2 linked regions of the Coturnix japonica genome follow. The protein of the gene in region 1 interacts with the protein of each later gene in a pairwise test. Links are inferred from orthologs where the notes say so. Each region holds a gene or a part of one and is shown on either strand. Other genes may lie near its edges.

Region 1 (4,547 bases):
GCAAAATATGCTGGCAGTCGATAAAAACAAGCATTATCAGTTTTCACTGTATTATCTTCAGTATTCAGCCTGTACCATATGCAGCCAAAAGCTGTGTGGCCCATCACGACAGAATTATTCACAGTAAGAAGTTTATTATTAAAGACATGAATCATTTGAAATTATCCGTGGGGGAAATGTAAGGAGAATCCCAGGGAGATCTGTTGGCACGACAGTGCAGGGCACTCGGGTGGCACTGATCCAGACACATAGTGAGGAAATGCACAACTGTAAAGTGTTTCTGTGGTTGCTTTGGTTATGTTTGGGATGCTTACAGACATGATGTTGGGTTCAGGCTGCAGGGCACACTGCTCAACCCAGGTGGTGGAATCACTGACCTGGAGGTGCTCAAGAGGAGGGTGGATGTGGGACTGAGGGATGTAGGCAGTGGGCATGGTGGGGTGGGGGTGGGTTGGACTTGGTGATCTTAGAGGTCTTTCCAACCCCAGCGATCCTATGGGGACAGATCCTGAAGGCATTCTCTTACTGCATCTACCTCAGCAGTTGTGTTTAGGAACCTGTGGAGATGCTGATGGCCATTCACTCCAAAGCATTCACCTTGAAGCTGTCCCTCAGAAGTGACACTGGTGTCCACTTTTGACATTAATTATGAGTTTCACATTAGGGAGATGAACCGATTTGCCTCTTTGTTCACCAATAAGGTCTCCCACATCTCCTCCATCACCACACTTACCTCCTGGTCACCTGGAGACACCAGAACCGCATCATTGGCTGCAATGTGGATCTCAAGCCCTGCGCAATGTTCCTTCTAATGGACGAGGGGTTTCAGCAGCTCTTCTCAATGTCTCCTTAAAACCTAAAGGTTAAAAGTGGAGGCCTGGCTCAGAACAGCACTGCCAAGCACCAAAATGGAGCTGTCTGCTGGTGGTGAGAACCCCATACAACTCAGTAACCGCAATGGTGGCATTGGGTGCTCAACACACACCAACCCAAAGCCAGGAACTGTATTATATAGTTATAAATATATATAATAAGGTTAGAAAAGGCTCCTATGATCACCATATCCAGCCCCTACCCAACCAGGGCCCTCAAAACTCTATCTCCACTACTTCTCCACACGGAGATGTGGAACCTGCGGACAGCGGGGATGGGATGATGGGCTGGGGATGGAGATGGGGTTGGAGATGAGGAGGAGGCCATAAGGACCCCATAGATAAGCGCAGCCCACACACCCCCCCCCCCTTATCTCGCCCCACTCCACCGCCCCTGAGGAGGCGTTGGCGGAAGCCCCGCCCTCCGCGTGACGTCATCGAGACGCCCACCAATCCTTGCAGAGCATCTCGGCCCCGGCAGGAAGTGACGTCACCGTCTCCCTCCGCCGCCCGGTCCCCTTTTTGTGTGTGTGTGTGGAGTGCGGCGGCGCCGCGTGTATCCCCCCGCCGCGGCTCCTCCTCCTCCTCCCGCCCCCCCCGGCCCTCCGCCCGCCGCCCGATGCCACCTGCGCTGCGCTCCCGGGGCTGAGGGACCGCGCGGAGCGGGGAAGGTGAGAGCCGGGCGGAGGGTGGGAGGAGGAGGAGGAGGAGGCCGCGGTCCGTTATGTGCCGTGGGCGGAGGGATCGGGGGGGGGGAGTTGGAGGTTTGAACCGCTCTCACACCTGGGATGTGGGAGGATTGGGAGGGATTGAGGGCGCGTACAGCACAAAGCGCGAGGATAATGGGGGGGCGGGGGAGGAGCTCCGGGCGAGGGATCCTCTCACACCCCCCGCGATCGCGGGATGCGGATCCTACACTCCCCGGCCCGTCCCCCCCCACCCCAGAGCTCCGTCCCCCCCCCCAACATTGGTGGGCGGCCATGTTGGGCACCGGGCTTATTTCTGCTGCCTTTCTCCCAGGCACGACGCGCTCAGCCCGGAGCGGGGCCGCGTTCTGTGCCGACAGGCCCTTCCTTAGGCCCCGTGCCCCCCTGCGGCCTGCAGCCTCTCCCCGGCCCCTCAGCGCTGTGGGGCGCTCCGTGGTGATGGAGGGGGGTCGTGGCCCGTCAGTCTTCGCACCGACCCCGTGGAAGGGCGCTGAGCGCAGGGCGGTGCTGAGCGCTGCTTTGTGTCCGTGGCTGTTGGTGACACGGAGCCGTGGGCCGGTGGGTGAGCAGCCCCCGCGCTGTGCCCGTGGTGGTGGAGCTCGGGGCTTTGGGTGCAGCACTGCGGGGCTGCGGGCGGGGGATCAGAACGGCCCTTCCAGCCCAACCCAACTATCAAGTGGTAGTTTCCAGCCCACCCTGTTCGTTCAGGGGTCTGGAAGTTCCCATCCAACCCAACCCATTTGCAGTCCAATCCATTTGCTATGGGAATCCTTTCTGCCTTGAGCTGTTTGCTAAGGGATCCTTTCCAGTCTGTTCACAAAGTGATTGCTTCCAACACAACCCAACTCGTTCACCAAACAATCCTTCCCAGCCCTGTGCTGTCTGCTAATTGATCCCTTCCAACTCAATCTAACCAGTAGGTGATCCAACCCAACCCATTCGTTATGAGATCCCTTCCAACCTGAGCTATTGGCTTAGGGCTCCCCTTCAACCCAACCCATTCCATGTCTGTATGGTCCCACACTTCTCCTGACTGCACCTGCTGAATCCAGGTGTTGAGCTGTCTGCTTGCTGTTGAGCTGCTTGCACTGTTTTTACCCCCACTTGCACTGTTTTTACCCCCACCACGCTGTGGTGCTGCCCTTCAGTCCCATAGAAGCCCAGTGGCTGCAATGGGACACCCCAGCTCTGTGTCCCCTGCTCCACTCCATGCTGTGCACAGGGTTGCACTGCCCTGCAGGAAACTCATGCCACAGGACAACATGCATGGTGTTAGTTTTATTAGCTTGGCTGTGCTGGGGGTGGAGGATGGGGGGATCTGTTGCTTCTTTTAGGAAACGGTTTGTGAAGAAATAGAAGTTCAGCATCTTCCCTGTGCTGGGTCTTGCTGTGCGCTGATGGTTTGAGGTTGCTGCAGATGGGAAGTTGGATCCTGGAGTGCCATACCTGGCTATAATTGTATCTGCAGTTGTGTTGTGCCTAAGAAGAGAAGTGAAGCCGTCCCACAGCTCTGAGCTCTGTCTGGGCCGGGGGGTTCTGCACGTGTTGCTCACAGATGGCAGCGTGTTGTGGATATATATGGCTGTGTTGTTTGTGTGCACGATCCCACAGCTGCTTGGAGTCTGTCAAAAGACCAACGACTGTCTTTGCTCTGACAGACCTGCCCCACGCTCCGTGCCATTGGCAGGAATGGAGCTGCAGGCAGCTTGTGGGCTCCAGAAGCAGCTTCAGGGTAGTCTCATGTTGATGAAATACACCCCAAGTATTCAGCAGAGCTGCAGAGACAGAGCAGAAAGCGGTTTGTTTTCATCACTCAGCACTTCCAACTTGAAGGTAGATAATAATCATTAAAATTGAGTGTAATAATAGATTTTAATTAGTAGGCATGGCACACATCAAAGCCTTTAATAAAATACAGAGGGCTTTAAATGATGGCATTCAGAGCAAATTTAATACGGCTGTGGAAGAACCTGGGTACCCAGCAGAGCGCATCAGTCAGTGCAGAGTGAATTCACCTCCGTGTGAGGGATGTGGCTGCTGAGCCTCCACCTGCTCCCTTCTTTCAGAGGTGTTGCTCATGATGAATGGCCAAATAAACACTAATGAAAACATCATCCAACATTTTCATCACTGAGATTATATCAGCTCGAAGCCGTGCCAGTTATTCATTAAGAGCCACTGAAGAACATTATCTTTTCTTTAGGGAAGGGATTGTGGCGTGTCTTGACAGCAGGAACCTTTATCACAGGATTCATTTGCATTTAATGTAACCTCTTAAAAAGTTAAGGTACGTTCCTTGCCATGAATACACATTATTAAGAGTGAGTGAGAAAAGTAACCAGACAGGAGTTGTGTTGAGCCTGCGTGTCTACCAAGGTTGGACAAAATGGGAGAGCAGCGGGCACTCACAAGTTGGTTTATGTATTAATTTCTATCTTGGAGCGTGTTGAGTCATCTCCAGCTCGTCTGTAGGTCTCTTAGGAACGGATCCTTGATTTTAGATCTTAGATTTTCTTCTCCGGACTCTCAGCATGGAGGTTGTTTTACAGCAAGTGGTGAGGAAAAATGAAGGGTCAATTAATTCTTAATATGTATTTTTCGCACTGATATTTGTCCTCGGGGAGCTGGGGGAAAAGGATTGATATGTTGATAGCCTTCGAACCGCACTGCAATTAAATCTTCACTAGCAAATCTAGGCTGGCATAAAGCCTGGCAAACCTCTGGCATAGAGTTGAGATAAGTTTGGTGCACAGCTGATGCACAGAGCTTTGGGACAGCACAGCTGGGCCACTTTCTATGCAGGGATTGTGCTTTGCTTTGCCCCAGCTGTGCTCCCTGTGCCCCCACCTCGCAGCCCTTTTCTCCCAGCAGCTGTTGCTGGTCCCATCCCCTGTCTGGTTGATTCAGCTCTGTCCCCAACTGCTGCAGTGCTGTGCATGGGGCTCTGTGAGTCACTGCTGTGCTGAAG
Region 2 (4,720 bases), on another chromosome or scaffold:
TAACCACGAGGTGGTCAGGTCTGCATCATCACCGTGAAGTGTGACAGCACAGACTGCAGATGAGGCCACACCATTCTTGAATTAGAGAAAAACCAGGGCACTAACATGAACCTCCATCTGCAAGCAGGCAAGGAAGCAGAGAGCTCCAGCCCAACTCAGCAGGGCTGTTTCTCTTGCTGAGGGTTACTGTCTGTGTGGGAAACTGGTCATCACAGCCTGAACCTCTGATTAACCAGCTGAGGCAAGTGTCAGGTCAGCTGTGGGAACACAGGTGAAGGTAATTCAGTTGTGCTCCCCGAAGGGGTGGAGATTGATTCCACCTCTCCTAGACCTCATTTAAGGGCTGACCACCACTAAGGCAGCATCTCTTGGAGATTGCTCCCCTGTGGAGATTGGATAACCAGCCTATTTTCCAGCCAGACTGAAGGCATCTGTATTGGTGAGTTTTTCCTATAGATAACCTTTTGGATATCTGTCACTATCCCTCTTGTATTATTACCATCTTTGTATTATTTCTACCTTACAACCACCATCCTTATATTATTCTCACACTGTCTTTTTAATGAAACTGATGATGAGCAGAAAGCTGGCAAGGCCTTCTCACTGCAGCAAAGCCTTTAGAAGCATGGCATGAGTAACCCATCTCCACTTGCTAAGAGATCCAAAAATAGAGGCGAGGTGTGAATATCCTATTTGTTGCACTAGGGTGTCAATAGAAATTCCCCATCAGGGCCTCATCTACTATCAAAGCCTGCACATGGGTAAGAAGTGCTCACCTCTGAGCACAGCCCGACTGCTACTTTCCAGAATATTGTATATTGGGTCTCAGGACCAGCAGTAGCTGCACCAGCTCACGCTCCCATAGAAGGGGTAGACTGATGACTTGACAACCTAAATTAGATGCTTCTAAATTTTCTCTATCAACAGATCATTCTTCCCTGTCAGATCATCCCTTGCACCCAGGGCAGCAGGCACCTCATCACCAAAGCCATGGGGGAGAATCAGATGCAGACAGCTCATGGGAGATCCAGATATAACACAGGAGATCCAGATATAAAGGTGGGAGAAATAGTTTTAACATTTATACTCTATCAATGAAATATTAAACATTATTATGTTCTTCTTTCCTGCACTTAAATATCTGACCCTGAGTCACCTGACAGTGATACGTAGCAAACACAACCTCCTGTCTGCTGCTCTTCCCAACCTGACCTGTGAGGATATAGAGCTCGTGTGGGTGCAGTGTATGGGTTAGAAAACGTGGATCTGAGAGTCCTCTGCTGTTATGAAACAGCATGTTTAGGGGACAAAGTGCTGTGTTTCTGAAGCTACAGAAAGTACTACGCAAGGATTTACTGTCACATTGTTGTATTTAAAATGAAGTGCGTATTCCAGCAAACCAAGAATTAATGAAATACACCAGCCACTACAAATCATTTAATCACCACCAATTGCTCCACTGCCCGCCAACACCCACAGATGCGCATTGTTCAGTTATGGCTTTAGGAACCCTCTATTATAGAGTGGGAAGAGATGTGGAACACCCTTGGCGTTTATGTTGACAGTGGTGGAAGTGACAGAACACATTGATTTGCACAGAAGGAAGGACAGGCTGTCCATGTGCTTCTGTGAATCACTAATATCCGTCTTGACCAAAAACCTGTTTTGGTGACTTAAATTTTGCTTTAAAAAACCAAAGCAAACATCTTTGCTGGTGGTGGGGAAGGGACCGAGTACAGGTGCTGAATTTCTAAGGAGTGCTTGGTGCTCACGGTGGATCTGCAGTTGCTTAATGACCCTAGGTCAGTTTCTAGTCCTTTATTTAAGAAACAGGAAAATTGTTTCTAACCCCAGGAAGAGCTGCTTTTCACAACAGTGTTACTCCAGAAGCATTGCAATGCTTAAAAGGGAGAATTAAAAAATAAAAATCTGGAATTAAAAGCCATATGGTCTGCAAAAATAAAATATATGTATCTCCTTGTGTATGACTGGGAGGCGTAATAACCTTCGGTTGAAAAACATTTTTAATAAGATCCGCTTGCCACGTCACTTGGACTTATTGCCGTGCACAGAGATGCGGTTATCCAGGTTTGGAAGCGGGAATCGAGTCCTCTGTCCTAGGGAACGAGGCGGGAACGGCCCGCAGCTGCGGCACCGGCGGCGGTTGAGCCGGCGTGGCGTGGGAAGGCGCCGTCGTTGACATTTGCCATTAAGGTACGGACAGAGGTCGGATCCCGCCGGTCGTGCGGCACCCGGAGCCGCGGGGCGCCGGCACCGGCGGCTCCGAGCGGAGACCGACCGCCTCGGCCGGAATCGGGTTCGCCGCGGGTTAAAAATACCGCCGGAGCGCCCGGCTCCGCTCGGAGGCGTCGGGTGCCGGCGCGGGGCCTCCTGCGGGCGGGCCGGGCTCGGGCCGCGCCGGCGCCCCGCGGGACGCGGCTGTCGGCCGGCGGCTTAAGGGAGCGGGGCCCCGGCCCGGCCGGGGGAGGAAGAGCGGGGCAGCGCCGCCAGCGCCCGGCGGCGGCGGAGGGGCGTCCCGCAGCACGGGCGAGCGGCCGATCCGCGCCCCCCGTCCTCGTCCTCCCGCCGCGGGGCCGGGGCCCTCCCCGCCGCGCCGAGCGCCGCCGCTGGCTGCCGCCGGAGTGGCCCGGCCGAGCGGCCGCCGCCGGGGCCGGCTCCGATCCGCCATTATCCTTTGTTCGCGGCGCGGCGGCGGCGGGGACGGTGCGGGGCTCGGCTCCATCTTTAAGGCGGGCGCCCCTCCCGCGGGCGGTGCGAGGCCGGGCTCCCCGCGTCCCGCCGCCCGCCGGCCGCCCCGGTCCCCGCCGGGCTCCGTTTCCTTCCCTCCCCCCCGCCCCTGTTCGCTGGGCGCCGTCCTCCTCTTACCGGTTGCGGGCTGCTCCGTCACTGCTTTCGTTCGCGCCTGGGATCTCGCCGCAGTTTTATTCTCTCCCCCACGTAACACACCGCGTCAAACTACACCTCCGCCGCGTCACTCACACACACACAGGCGCTCCCAGCCCGGCGACAGGCAGGCAGCGGCCGACTGAGGAGCGCCAGCCAGGGAGCAAGCGCCGAGCGCAACGCGGCCCGCACGGAAACCGCCGAGCGCTCACGGAAACCGCCGAACGCGCGGCGGGCGGCGGGAACGGCCGAGCGCGCCGCCGGCCTCCTCGGAAAGAGCCGAGCGGGCGCGGAAACGAACGAAGCGGCCCGGAGGGGTGGCGGAAAGAGCCGAGCGGCCGCGGGAAGGCGCGAACCGCGCTTCCGCCCCAGGCGGCCCGCGGGGCGGGTGGCGTTGGCCGCCAATAGACCGGGGGCAGAGCCGGGCAGAGCGGGGCAGAGCGGGGCAGGCGCCGGGCAGGGAAGGCGCAAAGCGGAGAGACGGCAGCATCGGCCGGGCGGCGTCTGCACCGGGCTGCACCAGGGACGGGCCGAGTCACACGGCTCCTGCGGGCACGGAACGGGCAGCACGCTGCCACGGGAGGCTCCAACAGGAGCCGGTGCCGCCCCGGGGCATCTCCAGCACCGTCCTGTCGGGCCCACAGGGCGCACCTTGTCCCGCAGCAAGGAGAGCCAACTTCACCTGCTCCTTCTGCACGATAAAAACACAGCGCAGTCTCGTATAAAGCGCTTTTATCTCTCGAAACCTCAAGATGGCACTGCACAACAAGGTTTGGAGCTCTGTGCCTGGTACATCCCCAGCAGACAGCACGGTGCGTGCCGGCTCTGCCCATCAGCAGCACCGGGCTCCTGAGCAGCCTCGTGTCCTCAGGAAAGCCAAATAAATGGGTTTCAGTTGGACCGTGTCGTGTAAATCCATCCCAAATTAAAAGGCGGTGCAGGGAACGATTGCAGGTTACTCTGTTTCTGTTGATTATAGTTATTCTAAATGAAAATGAAATAAGCCAGAATTGACTTATTTTAAAAAGGGAGGTCAGGTTAAACTGACAGCACGTTGCTAATAACCCCATAATACAGCCTGGGCCACATCTCATTTTCCACTCCCGTTGCACTTGTCCCCTTTGTCCTGTCTGCAGGTGAGGAGCTTCAAGGCTGTGAGAACCTATGTGAGAAAACGCCTACGATGAGCGGAACAGACTCAGTGCTCTGAGTGTCTCCTTTCAATTACTGCATTTCTTTATCTCTTTTCCCAATCCTCTTCCCTCCTCGTGTTGATCTTGGTGCTACATCATCTTTCTTTGCTCCCTGGTGGATGTTCTCTACACATGCCAGTTTCCCAGACCTGCCTTTCTCACTGTGGGGCAGCAACCTTGAAGGATCACAGCAGAAAACCTTCAACAATAAATTCCAGCCTTTGAAAAGCAACCAAAAGGCACGGACCAGGCCTCAGACAGTGTCTCCTACAAGAAGCCCCAGCTGCACGCTAAGCCAGAGCAGCAGCAGTGCTGCTGATAGGACTGGGTTATAGCTGGGCCCTGAGCTATATACACAGGCGGGCAGCTCCTTGCACAGCTCTGATCCTGCTGCCCATTTAAGGTCTGGATGATCCTCTGGCAGTCCCACTGGCCATTCCCAACCCTGCACTCACTTGGGGCTTTCAGCAGCACTTCTCAATGTCCACCAGCTCAGCTGCAAAGGGCATCTTGCAGCAGTGGCTGCTCCTTTGCCAGCCAGCATAGACTCCTCATTGCACAGATAGCTCGAGTGCAGTTTATCTCAAACTAAAACAGATGCCTCGGGTAGGTCACATGCCTGG

The links.
Region 2: the proteins of POGZ (region 1) and CREB1 interact in a two-hybrid assay, tested with the Homo sapiens proteins (2 studies listed by BioGRID and IntAct). The link is inferred for Coturnix japonica from reciprocal best matches to the Homo sapiens genes POGZ and CREB1.

Annotation. Positions count from the first base shown.
Region 1 is NC_029540.1:2,346,123-2,350,669, forward strand, and holds the start of POGZ (pogo transposable element with ZNF domain), read left to right. Parts: upstream 1-1,367; 5' UTR 1,368-1,543; intron 1,544-4,547. UniProt on the Homo sapiens protein: Plays a role in mitotic cell cycle progression and is involved in kinetochore assembly and mitotic sister chromatid cohesion.
Region 2 is NC_029522.1:10,661,343-10,666,062, forward strand, and holds the start of CREB1 (cyclic AMP-responsive element-binding protein 1), read right to left. Parts: upstream 3,106-4,720; 5' UTR 2,887-3,105; intron 1-2,886.